Linked DNA regions of Drosophila melanogaster. The protein of the gene in region 1 purifies or fractionates together with the protein of each later gene. This does not show direct contact. Each region holds a gene or a part of one and is shown in the gene's direction. Other genes may lie near its edges.

Region 1 (5,216 bases):
TTGTATTATGCATTTGTGTTGCAGGCGAGGTTTCGGAGTGCGTCAAAACAGGACTTTGGGTGGGAGACTGCTTCATCTATACCAACTCGGTGAACCGCATCAACTACTACGTGGGCGGCGAGATTGTGACAGTATCCCACTTAGACCGCACAATGTATCTGCTGGGCTACGTGCCCAAGGACAATCGTATTTACCTCGGCGATAAGGAGTTGAACGTGATCAGTTTCTGTCTGCAGCTGTCCGTGCTGGAGTACCAGACGGCGGTTATGCGAAGAGACTTTGAGCGCGCAGACGTTGTGCTACCGACCATTCCCAAGGAGCACCGCACTAGGGTGGCACATTTTCTGGAGAAACAGGGCTTTAAGTCGCAGGCCCTGCAAGTCTCTACCGATGCCGACCATAAGTTTGACTTGGCCTTACAGATCGGAGATTTGGAAATCGCCTTAAAGCTGGCCCGTGAGTCGGAGAACTCCCAGAAGTGGTCACAGCTGGCAGATGTGGCGTCTAGCAAGAACAACATGTCTCTGGTTAAAGAGTGCATGCAGAAGGCAAACGACTTAAGCGGTCTATTGCTGCTCTCAACAGCTTCCGGCGATGCCCAGCTGCTCGAGGTGGTGGGTGCGGCTGGCTCGGCCCAGGGACATCACAATCTAGCTTTCCTCTCGGCGTTCCTTCGTTCAGACGTGGAACGCTGCTTGGAGATTCTCATTGAGACAAATCGGTTGCCAGAGGCAGCGTTCTTTGCCCGCACCTACCTGCCCAGCCAGATGTCAAGGATCGTAGAGCTTTGGCGGGAGAAGCTTGGAAAGGTCAACGAAAAGGCGGGACAGTCGCTGGCCGATCCGGCACAGTATACAAATCTCTTCCCTGGCCTGGGCGATGCGCTGCGGGTGGAGCAGCATTTGCAGGAGGAGCGAGCTCGTAAGGCGCCGGCACGCCTCGCTGCGAATCTACCACTGAATAGCGAACGTCATCCTCTGCAAGAACTATTTGCCGCCGAGCAGGGTGCCGCCGGCCAGCATTTGGAGGAGAAGGTGAAGCCAGCTTACGTTCCCGCTCAAGCTGTTGTTTCTAGCAGCCAGGTGGCCGAGCCTACATCCGCTGCGGATGACGACGACGACCTGGACTTGGAAATAGATGGAATTACGTTGGATGATAACATTGATACGACAGATGTGAACCTCGATGACGATTTTCTAAGCGACGATTAGGACGGAAGATCACAGCCAGATCTAGAATACCATTTAAACTATCGTTTACTGCTACGGGAGTCCCACATTTCGTGCATTTCGAGCCACAGAATTCCGCGCATGCATTCACATTTGATTTGATTGAATGTTGTTTAAATATATATCTATTAATAATATGTACAACAGTAATGGAGCAAACACTGCAATAAATACTTATACAACAATTTCAAATATGGCGCTCACTTCAACTATTTCGATTACATTCTGATATCTTATCGATAAAACTTTTAAACAAACTTACGATCATGCCAGGAGAAATTAAAAATTATTTTTGTTCTTTTTTTTTTTTGAGTTAAATTAGTATTCATGGTCTATTTTATTATATATTTGTACAAAAAAATGTTCTGTACCTGTTACATACATTTATTTCAACATATTTACTCTACGAGTAGGGGGTGTAATAAGTAGGCAATCCAAAAAAAGTCTGGCAACCACAAATATCAGTAAAATACATACAATTCGTGTGTGCGTCTGGATTTTGCTGTATTTTTTATTTAAGAATGAATTATTAACTAACCATTAATAAATTATTATTAAATAAAAAACAGTTAAAACCGCGATTCAAACGTGAGTACTCCCCGAATTTCGGCGAGAGTGTCAACTGGACTTTTCGCCCGCTATTCGTCGGTGATGTATCGATTTTTCAAACAACAATTACCCCGAAATTTTAAACAGATACACACCGAATCCTCCCGAAAACCGTGCAAAACAAGAACACCATGGACCAGGAGAATTTCCACGGCTCCAGCTTGCCGCAGCAGCTACAGAACCTCCACATCCAGCCGCAGCAGGCGTCCCCCAATCCTGTCCAGACGGGATTTGCTCCACGGCGGCACTATAATAACCTTGTCGGCCTGGGCAATGGAAATGCCGTCAGTGGTAGTCCGGTGAAGGGTGCTCCGCTGGGGCAGCGCCATGTGAAGCTCAAGAAGGAGAAGATATCCGCCCAGGTTGCGCAGCTGTCTCAGCCAGGTCAGCTGCAGCTGTCAGATGTTGGTGATCCTGCCTTGGCGGGCGGATCGGGCTTACAAGGTGGAGTCGGCCTTATGGGCGTAATATTGCCCAGCGACGAGGCCTTAAAGTTCGTCAGCGAAACGGACGCCAATGGACTGGCCATGAAGACGCCCGTCAGCATTCTGCAAGAGCTGCTAAGCCGACGAGGAATTACTCCCGGCTATGAACTTGTCCAGATCGAGGGCGCCATACATGAGCCGACCTTCCGGTTTCGCGTGTCCTTTAAAGACAAGGATACGCCCTTCACGGCCATGGGGGCAGGACGATCGAAGAAGGAGGCCAAGCATGCGGCGGCCCGTGCGCTCATCGACAAGCTGATCGGCGCGCAGCTGCCGGAATCGCCTAGCAGCTCCGCTGGTCCGTCGGTGACTGGGCTCACGGTCGCCGGAAGCGGAGGAGACGGCAATGCCAATGCCACAGGCGGAGGAGAGTGAGTTTTTATTCTATTGATGTCTAAGATATGATTCTAAGATATCCAATTTATTGTATTATGTCCTTGCAGTGCCAGCGACAAGACCGTTGGTAATCCGATTGGCTGGTTGCAGGAAATGTGCATGCAACGGCGATGGCCACCGCCGTCGTACGAAACGGAAACGGAAGTGGGTCTTCCCCACGAGCGGCTCTTTACGATCGCCTGCTCGATACTCAACTACCGCGAGATGGGCAAGGGCAAAAGCAAGAAGATAGCCAAGCGCTTGGCCGCCCACCGCATGTGGATGCGTCTGCAGGAGACTCCCATCGATTCGGGCAAAATCAGCGACAGCATCTGCGGCGAGTTGGAGGGCGAAGTGAGTATCATTCAAGACATCGATCGTTACGAGCAAGTCTCTAAAGATTTTGAGTTCATCAAGATCTAACCCACAAGCAATTTTCTAATATTTTTAGTGCAATTATTTTGAATGCAGTCCCATGCTTTAGTTTATAAAATTTTAAAAATTGATTTTATCAAATATATGTCATAAATGTTATATATTATTTAATACGTTTGTCCTCTATCCCTTCTCAAATGTAATGTAGAACGTTTAGAGTAATCCTCAGTTGTAAATATCCCTATAATCTTTTAAATTATGTATCTAGCTAGAGTTTTAGTACTATAGCATCCCTTTTATAGTGTGCTATCTGATATTTTTTATTGTCCTTGTTTTTATAACTAATGTTTTTGACATAATTATACATATAATTAACATAATGCTTACACCTTATTTATATTTCTGGTTTTATTTATGGTTTATATTGGCTTATTTCATTTTTCATTTTTCATATTGTTCCTTGGCATGGTGATTGTTTTAAAGAACGAATCTGTAAAGCACCTTTTCCACACAAAAGTGATATGTTTCAACTCACCATTGGCGTGTGTGATTTCAAATGTGTGCGAAATGCAATGGAGAAAAGAAACCAAAAACTTTGCGCTCTTATTTACAGCCCCGCAGTAGTGAAAATTATTATGGTGAATTGAAAGATATCTCTGTGCCGACACTGACCACGCAGCACAGTAACAAAGTATCCCAGTTCCATAAGACCCTAAAAAATGCAACGGGCAAAAAACTGCTTAAGTTACAGGTAAATTTCAATCCAATAACGCTTTTTATTCAAAAACGATCACAAACATATTTCCAACATTCAAAACCTGCTTTCGAAAGTACATATTTGCCTTAACCCCTCACAATCCTTATAATAATAGTGTTCTTGCTTGAAAGTTCAAAGTTTAATTTGACTCTGCTAATTCGACTCCATTTGTATTTTTTTCAGAAGACTTGCTTGAAGAACAACAAGATTGATTACATCAAGCTGCTGGGCGAAATCGCCACGGAGAACCAGTTCGAGGTGACCTATGTGGACATAGAGGAGAAGACCTTCTCTGGCCAGTTCCAGTGCCTGGTTCAACTGTCCACGCTGCCCGTTGGCGTTTGCCACGGCAGCGGACCAACAGCTGCCGATGCCCAGCGGCATGCCGCCCAGAATGCCCTCGAGTACTTGAAGATCATGACCAAGAAGTAGGGGGTGCAGCCAACTGAATAGCAAAATCTGAACGCACACCACGACCACGATCACGAGTATTTGATGAGAGCGATTACCGAGTGGATACGGGATAACTAATGCACCAGTCTAATTGCTTTTCTTTCCACTTTTTGGCTCAATGCAGTGGCGATGTTACATATATATATATATATATTTTGTTTCTTTTCCACCGATTCCTTTGATTAGGCAGTTGTATTTGTTAACTGCATATGTAAATGTTCATATATGTACTACACTTACCGATGAATGTATGTACGCTTGCAAATACAGACAAGCGTGTAATCGATATTGGAATCTTCTAGTCGCTTTCAAATTCTGAAAAACGTAAAACGGCAGATAAAACTAGGTTTAAGGTAGACTACGTGCTAGTTTGCGAAGGAAAAAGGCTTATGAATATAATCGGTATTTGGTAATCGCTACTTTTGCAGTTTTCTTTTCCTTGGGCTGAAAAACTTTGTAAACTCCGAATTAAAGGGCATTGATGAATTGAAATTAATCAATCCAACTTTAGAAATATTCTGTGAAAACATCTTTTATGATATGGAATTATTTAACTACAAATTAGTTAGGAAATAAATTGACAAATATAATACTGAAGTTATAGTAGCCGTGGCTTTATTTAAATAGGTAATTTTGTGCTTAATCTAAAGTAGTATTCTAAGTAATCATAAAGGATTGCATCTATTTCTTCTTTCTGTCCTGCGTACACTTGGGACAGAACCACTTGCCCTTTGGCTTTGTGGTGAGGCCAACACAAGCGAAGTGAAACCACTCGATGGGACACTAAAATGGTAGAGTGAAAGATCTAGAACTGACCACAGAGTACATCAAAATCGAATACTCACGTCGGGATTGTCGCAGCCAATCATCTCTCCATAGGACACCTGGTGGCATAGGCAATATGTGGGCTCATTGGGATCGACGGGCATGTCC
Region 2 (4,934 bases), on another chromosome or scaffold:
GTCTACATGACCCAGAGTGACGATGGCCTGATGCACTTCTGCTGGAAGGATCGCACCTCCGGCAAGGTGGAGGACGATCTCATCGTCTTCCCCGATGACTTCGAGTACAAGCGCGTCGATCAGTGCAAGACGGGCCGTGTCTATGTGCTTAAGTTCAAGTCATCGACACGCCGCATGTTCTTCTGGATGCAGGAGCCCAAGACGGACAAGGACGACGAGCAGTGCCGCCGCATCAACGAGCTGCTGAACAACCCTCCATCCGCCCACCAGCGCGGCGGCGGCGGCAGCAACGACGGCGACCTCCAGTACATGCTCAACAACATGTCGCAGCAGCAGCTGATGCAGCTCTTCGGCGGCGTTGGCCAGATGGGTGGTCTCAGCTCGCTGCTGGGCCAAATGAAGTGAGCATTTAAACCCTTGCAGCCATAGTGTCCAAGAACTAGTCAAGTAGATAGCTTCTTAACTTACAGGGTATCGTTTTTATTGTTTATAAGCATGTAATCGAAGGAATGAAGCCAGAACTTGAGTTCACCCCCTTTTTCAATATTTTCCTTTCTATATTCTCCGCAGCTCCCGGACGCCCTCGTCGCGCAACACCTCCTCATCGGGTGGCGGTGGGGCATCGGCCTTGCAGACGCCCGAAAACGTCAGTGTGCCGCGCACTCCGAGCGCTCCATCGAAATCGGGCAGCAGCCGCAGCAGCAGCAATGTGAACTCGCAGGTCGGCGAAGGTGCCGGCTCCTCCGTTGATGCGGATGCCCCCGGTAAGAACTCAACCACATCGACCACAACGGCGTCAAAATCGACCGGAGCCTATGCCAATCCATTCCAAGCCTACTTATCCAATCTCTCCCCCGAACATGGCGCAGGACGATCCCTGAATATTGACCTATCGACGGCCCTACCCGGCGCCGATGCCATCAATCAGATAATTGCCGATCCGGAGCATGTCAAGACGCTGATCGTGCACCTGCCCGAGTCGGAGGATGTGGACGATGATCGCAAGCAGCAGATCAAGGACAATATCACCTCCCCGCAGTTCCAGCAGGCTCTGGCCCAGTTCTCCAGTGCCCTGCAATCGGCCCAGCTGGGACCTGTGATCAAGCAATTCGAGTTGTCCAACGAAGCAGTGGCCGCCGCCTTCTCTGGCAATCTAGAGGATTTTGTGCGTGCTCTGGAGAAGAGTCTGCCCCCCGGTGCCACCATGGGTGGCAAACCCTCCGCCAGCGAGAAGAAGGCCAGCGATCCCGAAACCCCAACTTCAGTGGCCCGCGATGAGAACACAGATCCCGCTACCGAAAAACAGGAGGAGAAGCAAAAGTAGCTTACGTGTGCGGCTTGGTAGTCATTGATATGGAATCCGAAAGCAAATTTTTTCATGTGCTGAGTGATTTTTGGATGCTAAATAAATTCAAATGGGAGTTAATCGGTAGTTATCTATCTAATTGTGTGTTTGATATACATCAAAACGGCTTATTAATTTATATTTAAAATATTACTACTTTAATAAAAGGATACGCGTTTTGGTAAGTACTCGTCCAGCTCTTTTCAGAATGCATCATTATACTCATTATACTTGGGTTTTTGGCTTACCTAATTTAATTTAAAAAAACAAAGTCTAACGTGTACAATTTATTTTAAATTTTGAAGTTAATAATGGGGGGATATATGGAAGTAACGGTAATATTAATCCCGACAAGGTCATTTTGTTGGTGTCCCCCTAACAAAAGCTCGCTGCCCCGCTCTCTCATCGCAACACACTGGTCGTCCCTTTCTGGCGCGAATTGCGCGCTCTCTCAGCGAGAGCCGTCTCACACAGATATATACACACACAGGCACACGCAACAATATTTATTTTATTCAATTCCAAAACGGCCAGCAAATAAGTTGTGTTTGTGCAAAACTCGCGCGTTCGCAATTTTCCGAAGCTGACTCTCAATTCTCATACATAACGATCTCAAGCGATCTCCGCCAGGCGAATCAAACCCGGATATATCCAGATCTGCAGTAATTGCCATATTTTTTCGCCAATTTTTGCGTTGCGGGCTGGATGTTTTTGTATCTGTTGTTGTTGGTGCTTTCATTTTGCAGCAATCTCTGTGCCTGTGTGTGTTTGTGTGTTGGTGCTTTTGGCGGACGTGAGAAGGTGTGTGTGTCTAGTGGCAGCCTGTATGTTTTTTTTTTGCATGACTGCTTCGCGGAGCTGTGGGGAAAGCTTTTCCCTCCAAAGTAGTTGTCATAAAAAAGTTAAAAGCCGCGGCAAAAACAAAAATCAAAGCAAACACAGAAAGCGCGAAGAGAGAGGGCAGTGAGACAGAGAGAGAGAGAGTCGAGTGCCTAACGCACACCGACAACCTTTGACTCACACGCACACACACGCGCGCTGTTAAACAGGCCTGGAAGCTTGCAAAAAATAAAACTAAATAAAATAGGAGCTGCTTAAGAGTGTGTGTTGTCAAATAGCAAAGTAAACAAAAAGCTCCCCGGACTCGCAATTTCATGCATATCTCCGGCGCAACGATCTGGCAACACTAACAACAACAGCAGCCGCACAAACTGCGTTTTAACCAATTCCATTTCCATTTCCTGCACTTATCTTTCTCGTTTCTTCCAATTAGCGCTGGAAAAGTAACGTCCGCAACGGTTTAAATCCAGTCGAGACGCAAACCCCACTCAACTCCTTAATGAGTTCCCCTCCATTAAACGGAATTCACCAAAAAAAACGATTGATTTGCCGCTGATAAAGCTGATAAAAGCGCACACACACACCAAAGTCAGCTGCAATTTTGCGATAAGGTAAGTACAAAATTATGAATCTTTCAATTTGCCGGCAAATGGAGGCTTCCAGAACAGCTGCAGGAGCTGCAAGTAAAATGGAAGTGCCCCAAAATAAAAAAAAAAAAAAAACAAAAATACAGGAAACCAAAACACTAATGGCGCCTGAGCATATGCTTTGGGAAATTTTCAAGAGCGCCAAGCGTGTGAGCGCGGGGGTGCGAGAGGGACGACCGTACAGACAGTGTTTATGTTTTGGTAGAAAGGTCACATCCTTAGCTTCCAATAGAACTTTCGTTCGTTAATATCCCCGCCATCCACGTCCCTCGCGAATTACGTCACGAATCGACGAAGAAGTTCGTGTCGACAGGTTTACATGCTCTTGAACTTTTAACAAACTAATAATACCCTTTTATACAGTTATTGCGATAGGATTATATGATCCAATCCTAAACCGATTAAAATCTTATCAAAACATTGGGGAGTTAAAATTTATATGAGTTACTAACTTATAACAAAAACCAGTAATTTAAAACCAATTTGTAAGGACTTATGCTATAATTAAACAAAGCTTTTTAACGTTTCTAGCGACATATTAAAAAAAGGTTTTATAAGTATAAAAAACTTATCGGTTTCAAAAACTTAAATTTGCTATGTTATTAATGCGCAAGCTCCAATTTGCAATCTTATGATCGAAGCTATAATACCTCGTTCGCAACTTCAAAATTTAAAAGTGGGTGGTGAAAGTTTTTACGACGTGACTCCTTCAAAACGGCTGGCGAACAGGCGGGGAGAAAGCTTGCAGCCTGACATTGAACTTGGGGGCACTCTGAACAGAATTCTATTAATCACAGGGTGCCGCAGCTTTTTGGGGCAACTTTCACCAACCATTTTTGCAGCTGCCACACTCCAACAGATTGTTGCCAGTTGCAGCCATCGATTTCGTCGCAAATACGTACATATTCACACATTTAGAGCGCGCCATTTCAAAACTTTAGCTCAAAGCTTGAACTGCACAGTGCACTTTCTTCCTTGCTCCCCCATTAGAATAAGACTTCAATTCATCTCAACAGCTGTCTTGGCAACAGAGAAGCTTTCTCCACTGCCTGTTGCATCCTTGTTGTCATTACAAGAATGCAGATGATCATTCACTTGGAGCAGTAACAAATTAATGCCACAATTCATGAACAAGTCTGTAGTGGTCCACCCCAGCCACGTCCACCGTCCACTTTGCATGGCCCATTTGGTCGACTTCCTGCGGTCCAATTACCATTGGCTCCTCCCGCCCCATTGTGATTATAAGCTTTGGGACGGCAGGCGGCTCTCCGATCCGCTGACATCAGCAAGCGCAGCAAACAGCAGCCGCTGCAGCAGCAGCAGGAGCAGATGATTTTCCGGTTTGCCAGGGACCGAAAAACTGGTTTCGAATGGCGAAAAAAAAATGAAACAAACGACAGGCTGACCGAATCGAATCGAGCGCTGCCCTTTTGCACAGTCGGGCCAAAAAGACAATACAGTGCGGAGTGTTTGTTACATGTTAGAGCGTATATATATTTTGAAAAGTACGTGTGCGGAATTGAACAATACAATTGGCTTAGAAATCGACGGGCTTGATGGTGATGAACCGGGAGAGAATGAAGGCCACCAGAATGGTGGCGCACACGAAACAGAAGGCGAACATGTAGAAGCTCTCCTCGGTGAAGATGTCGGAGAATGCGGGTATATCCTGGTAGATCTTCTCGATCACCGCCAGTGTTCCTTTGTGCTTCCTCACCATCCTGATGGTTACTTCTTCTTGGTTGCCTTCTTTCCGCCGCCGGCGCCTCCTGCTAGTTTCTGTTTCTCCGCCTTGGTCAGGACCTTGTTGGTGATCTCCTCGCGCGGTGCCAAGCTGGACACGTGCTTGTTGCACAGCTGCAGCAGCTCTAGTGTGTTTAGGTTATCGCTGTTGAAGCGGATCTCCTTGACTTGGGCTTGTTCTGTGAATGATATAATATCAATAAGTGTTTGCTCTTTGAATGTTGCAGTTTCAAAAGGGTTAACTTAGTTGCCCACGCTAAAAGGAAACCAATTTTTCAATACATATTTCATATGTATTTTGGTTCCTTTTAGTTAGATATTTCAGCTGTCCCAGTTTAGGTATTCTTACCTTGCGCTGA
Region 3 (4,296 bases), 5.6 Mb from region 1:
CCCTGCTGTGCCTGCTGCTGATGTGGAGCATGACGTTGTCGCAGCTCATTTGCATTCCCAGTGACCTCGGGCCCAGCTGGAACCGCATCCTTCTGCGGAACAGTGGGGGCTTTGGCAGCCGGCCTTATCACTTGCTTGCTGGCACACACCAAGTGAAATATGTGGTGCTGTTGGTAGACATCCTTGTAGCTGCGTATCACCTCAGATATCTTTTGGGAGTCATCTAATAGCTTGCCCGAGTAAATAAGTTTCTGGTCCTGGATTAACTACAGAAAAAATGGAAAGAAATAGTTATAGTGGTCAAAACATAAAACATAAAATTTCACATTATAGGTATTCAGAGGGAACCTAGAGATAACTCATTGTTGCTTTTACCTCCGCGCGAAATTTATACTATCAAACAGTGCCTAAATCTATTTATTTGCACACTCCAAGAGATAACAACTTGTACTTGTCAGTTGACTTTATGGAAATGATACTTGAAACTAAATAAATTTTTATAAATTCTACTTGATTTGCTCTGGAAATAAAGAGTGCTAATGTATTTTTTCTGCCTGCAATGATCTGAATCTTTAGTATATATCAGTGATATTGATATGTGGGATGTACATATGTACATAAAAAACTTGGCACATGAGTGGAGCGTGAATATGTCCAAAAATCTTATCACTTTCTAACCGTAACCAAATTAATCCCAGTTCCCAGTTCCGACCCATCGATTTGGCATAGACCAAGTGCATGACGCAAGTGCATGACGGCGACTATAATTTAGAGGAGCAATCCACTGACGTGTACTTGCGACTAAGACGCAAATAGCTTTGGGAACCGACACACCTATGAATCCTAAACGAAGATGATAAACAATAACAAACTTCTCGATAAGATAATGGGGCTCCTGGCCAGTTTTCTACCTATACGATAACAAGGGGGGGAACCAACTCGATAACCCACCGGTTTGCCAGGATAGATAAGAGATAGGTGCTTCTTCAGCCTCTGGACCGTCCAGCAGAGATCGGAGTCCACATTGAGATCCTCATACTGCTGGTTGGACGACTTGATGAGCAGCCGGACACTGGTTTCCGGATTCTTTTGACGGGTGGCGGCATCGCAGCCCGCGGCTGTTGCGGCTGCGGGTGGGGCGGCGTTCTCCTCCATCTGGCTGACCCCGCGAATCGGAGAACTTTCTATTGCTAATTAATGACCGCGATACGAAGATCGGTGATGGGTTTTTGCTGCGCTAGCGGGGACACTTTTTACGCAGCCACTGTTTCTCACTTCCTACTCCGCTCTGCTCTCTGCGTATTTTCGAGAAATAGTTTATTCTGAATTTGACATTTAATTTGGTATTATGCTATTGTTTGGTTTTCAACAGCTGTTCGTTCTGTGGTGTTTTGCTCGCAGCACAGAGTTATTGATTATGAAACGCAGTAAACGTTCCGCAGTTGATCAAAAACTACTCTTCATTTGGTTCTGACCTGTGGCAAGTGATGAGCGTCGGTCACAGGGCTGCCGCGAGTAGCAGGTATTTTTAAGTCGCAGGTTGCACAAACAGCTGAGAATTGATTTTCCAAAGTGTGTGGGATGTGGCAATTTAAGTACACAGTTGGAAAATATTAAAGTCGTTGCTCAAACACTTGGTTTTAGTGTTTTTAGAATTTATTCCTTTGAAAAATATACGGTATCTAGTTATTTGCAGTTGTGGATTTTGCTCATCACTGACAGCAACACTTGTTAATGCCATATACTACGCAACAGGGTTGCCTTGACTTACGGGGATGCCAACTCGCGTCATCGTGACGTGTCGATTATGTATAACACTTCAGACGTTGAACTTTGAATGAAAACACCGAATAGCATATAAAATGCATTTGCTCCTTAGTAAAAAAGTTAAGAAGGTTTGCCGCTGTTTTCGTATTCGAATTACGAATTCAATACTATTTCGTGAAAATATTTTTTTGACAAAGCGGCATAAAATAATTCATTTACAGATGTCTTCGTCAAGATTTCCTATTCTATCGTTGCCGCTTCGTGATTCGCGTGCCATCTCTAATAACATTGCAGTGCTTTAGATATTTTATAAATTATATATATGGTTATATTCTGTTGAATGTTAGCACGTCCGACGTGCCTTTTCCCCTTGAACTCATGGATAACAAGTCAGCCGTATCTGCTCTACAGGAGTTTTGTGCCCGGACACAGATTAATCTACCAACATACAGTTTTATTCCCGGCGAAGACGGAGGGTACGTCTGTAAAGTTGAACTATTGGAGATAGAGGCCCTTGGAAATGGTAAATTTAAATTACAAATCTCAACCACTATTTATATTCGTATCTAAACCGCCACATATTTATCCAATTCTAGGGCGTTCGAAGCGTGATGCCAAACACCTGGCTGCCAGCAATATCTTGCGTAAAATCCAACTGCTGCCCGGCATACACGGCTTGATGAAGGATTCGACTGTGGGTGATCTGGATGAGGAACTGACTAACCTCAACCGGGACATGGTGAAGGAGCTGCGTGACTACTGCGTCCGCCGCGAGATGCCACTGCCCTGCATTGAGGTAGTGCAGCAAAGCGGCACCCCGAGCGCCCCGGAATTCGTGGCCTGTTGCTCCGTGGCCTCCATAGTACGCTACGGAAAGTCGGACAAAAAGAAGGATGCCCGTCAGCGAGCGGCCATTGAAATGCTGGCCTTAATCTCCAGCAATTCGGACAATTTGCGTCCGGATCAAATGCAAGTAGCGAGCACAAGCAAATTGAAAGTTGTTGATATGGAAGAATCTATGGAGGAATTGGAGGCATTGCGCAGAAAGAAATTTACCACCTACTGGGAGTTGAAGGAAGCCGGGAGCGTAGACCATACAGGCATGCGGCTCTGCGACCGACACAACTACTTCAAGAACTTCTATCCTACCCTGAAAAAGGAGGCCATTGAGGCCATCAATTCAGATGAATACGAGAGCTCCAAGGATAAGGCTATGGACGTAATGAGCTCTTTAAAGATAACACCCAAAATCAGTGAAGTGGAATCTTCATCGTTGGTTCCCTTGCTTAGCGTCGAGCTTAATTGTGCATTCGACGTGGTCCTTATGGCAAAGGAGACCGATATCTACGACCATATAATAGACTATTTTCGCACCATGTTGATTTAATGCGTATAACATTTATTCAACTATTCTAGCTTAAAACTAAGTAAACTCGTTTTATTTACACTCTAGAATGCACATATTTCATTTAATCTTACGATTAATACAATCTCCACCAATTTGTAGGTGGGAAACATAAAAAAATTATTTTCAAGGTCTTTTAGTAAACATCTATGTTAACTTTGTACACGATTGAGATAGGTGTAAAAAATCCAAGGAAATAAGTAAGGGGAGTGGGTACAACAACTTTTACTTTCGAGAAGGTATAACATAATGATATTATTAATTACTTTTCGATGCCAATACCAATGTTAATTCTATTAAAATGTAAAGTATTTATACGGTCCGAACTTATTGTTTGCAACAACTGATTATAAAATATTTGAAGCAATTTACATAAATATGTATTGCACAGTGAAATTAAAAATCTGAACATTTGCCTTTAAAAGGAATGCTAGTAATCAAAGACTTACTTGAAACAAATATTTTAAATAATTTGACGGAAAAAAATGGTAAAAATGCTGCATTTCTTTTTTTTTTTACAAGTACAACTTTTATACGAATAAAAGGGGTTTCAGTCTAAAATAAATAAAGTGCTTCGTAGTCTTCAGCATTTTTGATTTTATTTTTACAACACAATGCTAAAATGAAAACTAAGCGTTCCTCTTAAAAACTTTCAACAATGTATTAACAATTTCAATGTCAATTGCTTGCCTTTTAATGGGTTATCTTATATTAGTACAATATGTTAAATAACAAATCCATAACAATTTGAAATGTTTTCCTAAAAAAAAATGTAAGTGTATAAATGAGATTGTTATTGCAAATAATTTCCTAATCAATCACCAAATTTGATTGCATTGGAATATCTAAAAAATCATTGCATTCGCCACATCAATCTCATCATCTCATCGGGAAACGTTCAATTTACTAGTCAAAATAATATTTACACAACTAAAGGAAACAATATATGATTAGTGTTCAATAGCTAATCTTCTTGCGCAGCTTGAGATTGGATTGTTGATGGTCCAGAGACTGTTGTTGTTGTTGTTGCTGTCGCTCCCGATCCCGATCCTTTTCGCTGGACGCACGACTCACACCGCGTACCAGGTGCTGTTGCCACTGGCTGGAGGAGGGCGGCGCCGTGG

Evidence for each region.
Region 2: the proteins of loqs (region 1) and AGO1 purify together in Drosophila melanogaster (affinity purification with western blotting; 4 studies listed by BioGRID, with this or other methods). This does not show direct contact.
Region 3: the proteins of loqs (region 1) and r2d2 purify together in Drosophila melanogaster (affinity purification with western blotting, with the first as the bait; one study listed by BioGRID). This does not show direct contact.

The regions. Positions count from the first base shown.
Region 1 is NT_033779.5:13,380,971-13,386,186, forward strand, and holds loqs (loquacious), read left to right. Parts: upstream 1-1,681; 5' UTR 1,682-1,817; intron 1,818-1,925; 5' UTR 1,926-1,969; coding exon 1,970-2,694; intron 2,695-2,766; coding exon 2,767-3,052; coding exon of another isoform or gene 3,053-3,121; exon of another isoform or gene 3,122-3,195; intron 3,196-3,556; coding exon of another isoform or gene 3,557-3,686; coding exon 3,687-3,824; intron 3,825-3,851; exon of another isoform or gene 3,852-4,013; coding exon 4,014-4,262; 3' UTR 4,263-4,701; downstream 4,702-5,216. Other genes in the region: beta'COP (coat protein (coatomer) beta'), read left to right, coding at 25-1,211; Ing5 (inhibitor of growth family member 5), read right to left, coding at 4,965-5,066, 5,129-5,216.
Region 2 is NT_033778.4:13,955,035-13,959,968, reverse strand, and holds the start of AGO1 (Argonaute-1), read left to right. Parts: upstream 1-1,879; 5' UTR 1,880-2,007; intron 2,008-2,618; 5' UTR 2,619-2,796; intron 2,797-4,288; exon of another isoform or gene 4,289-4,369; coding exon of another isoform or gene 4,370-4,552; exon of another isoform or gene 4,553-4,560; coding exon of another isoform or gene 4,561-4,754; intron 4,755-4,924; coding exon of another isoform or gene 4,925-4,934. Other genes in the region: Rpn13 (regulatory particle non-ATPase 13), read left to right, coding at 1-401, 571-1,324; CG33155 (uncharacterized protein), read right to left, coding at 4,370-4,552; mRpL53 (mitochondrial ribosomal protein L53), read right to left, coding at 4,561-4,754, 4,925-4,934.
Region 3 is NT_033779.5:7,798,358-7,802,653, forward strand, and holds r2d2 (r2d2), read left to right. Parts: upstream 1-1,789; 5' UTR 1,790-1,895; exon of another isoform or gene 1,896-1,988; 5' UTR 1,989-2,145; coding exon 2,146-2,290; intron 2,291-2,363; coding exon 2,364-3,154; 3' UTR 3,155-3,741; downstream 3,742-4,296. Other genes in the region: Herp (Homocysteine-induced endoplasmic reticulum protein), read right to left, coding at 1-266, 952-1,155; Cdc14 (cell division cycle 14), read right to left, coding at 4,130-4,296.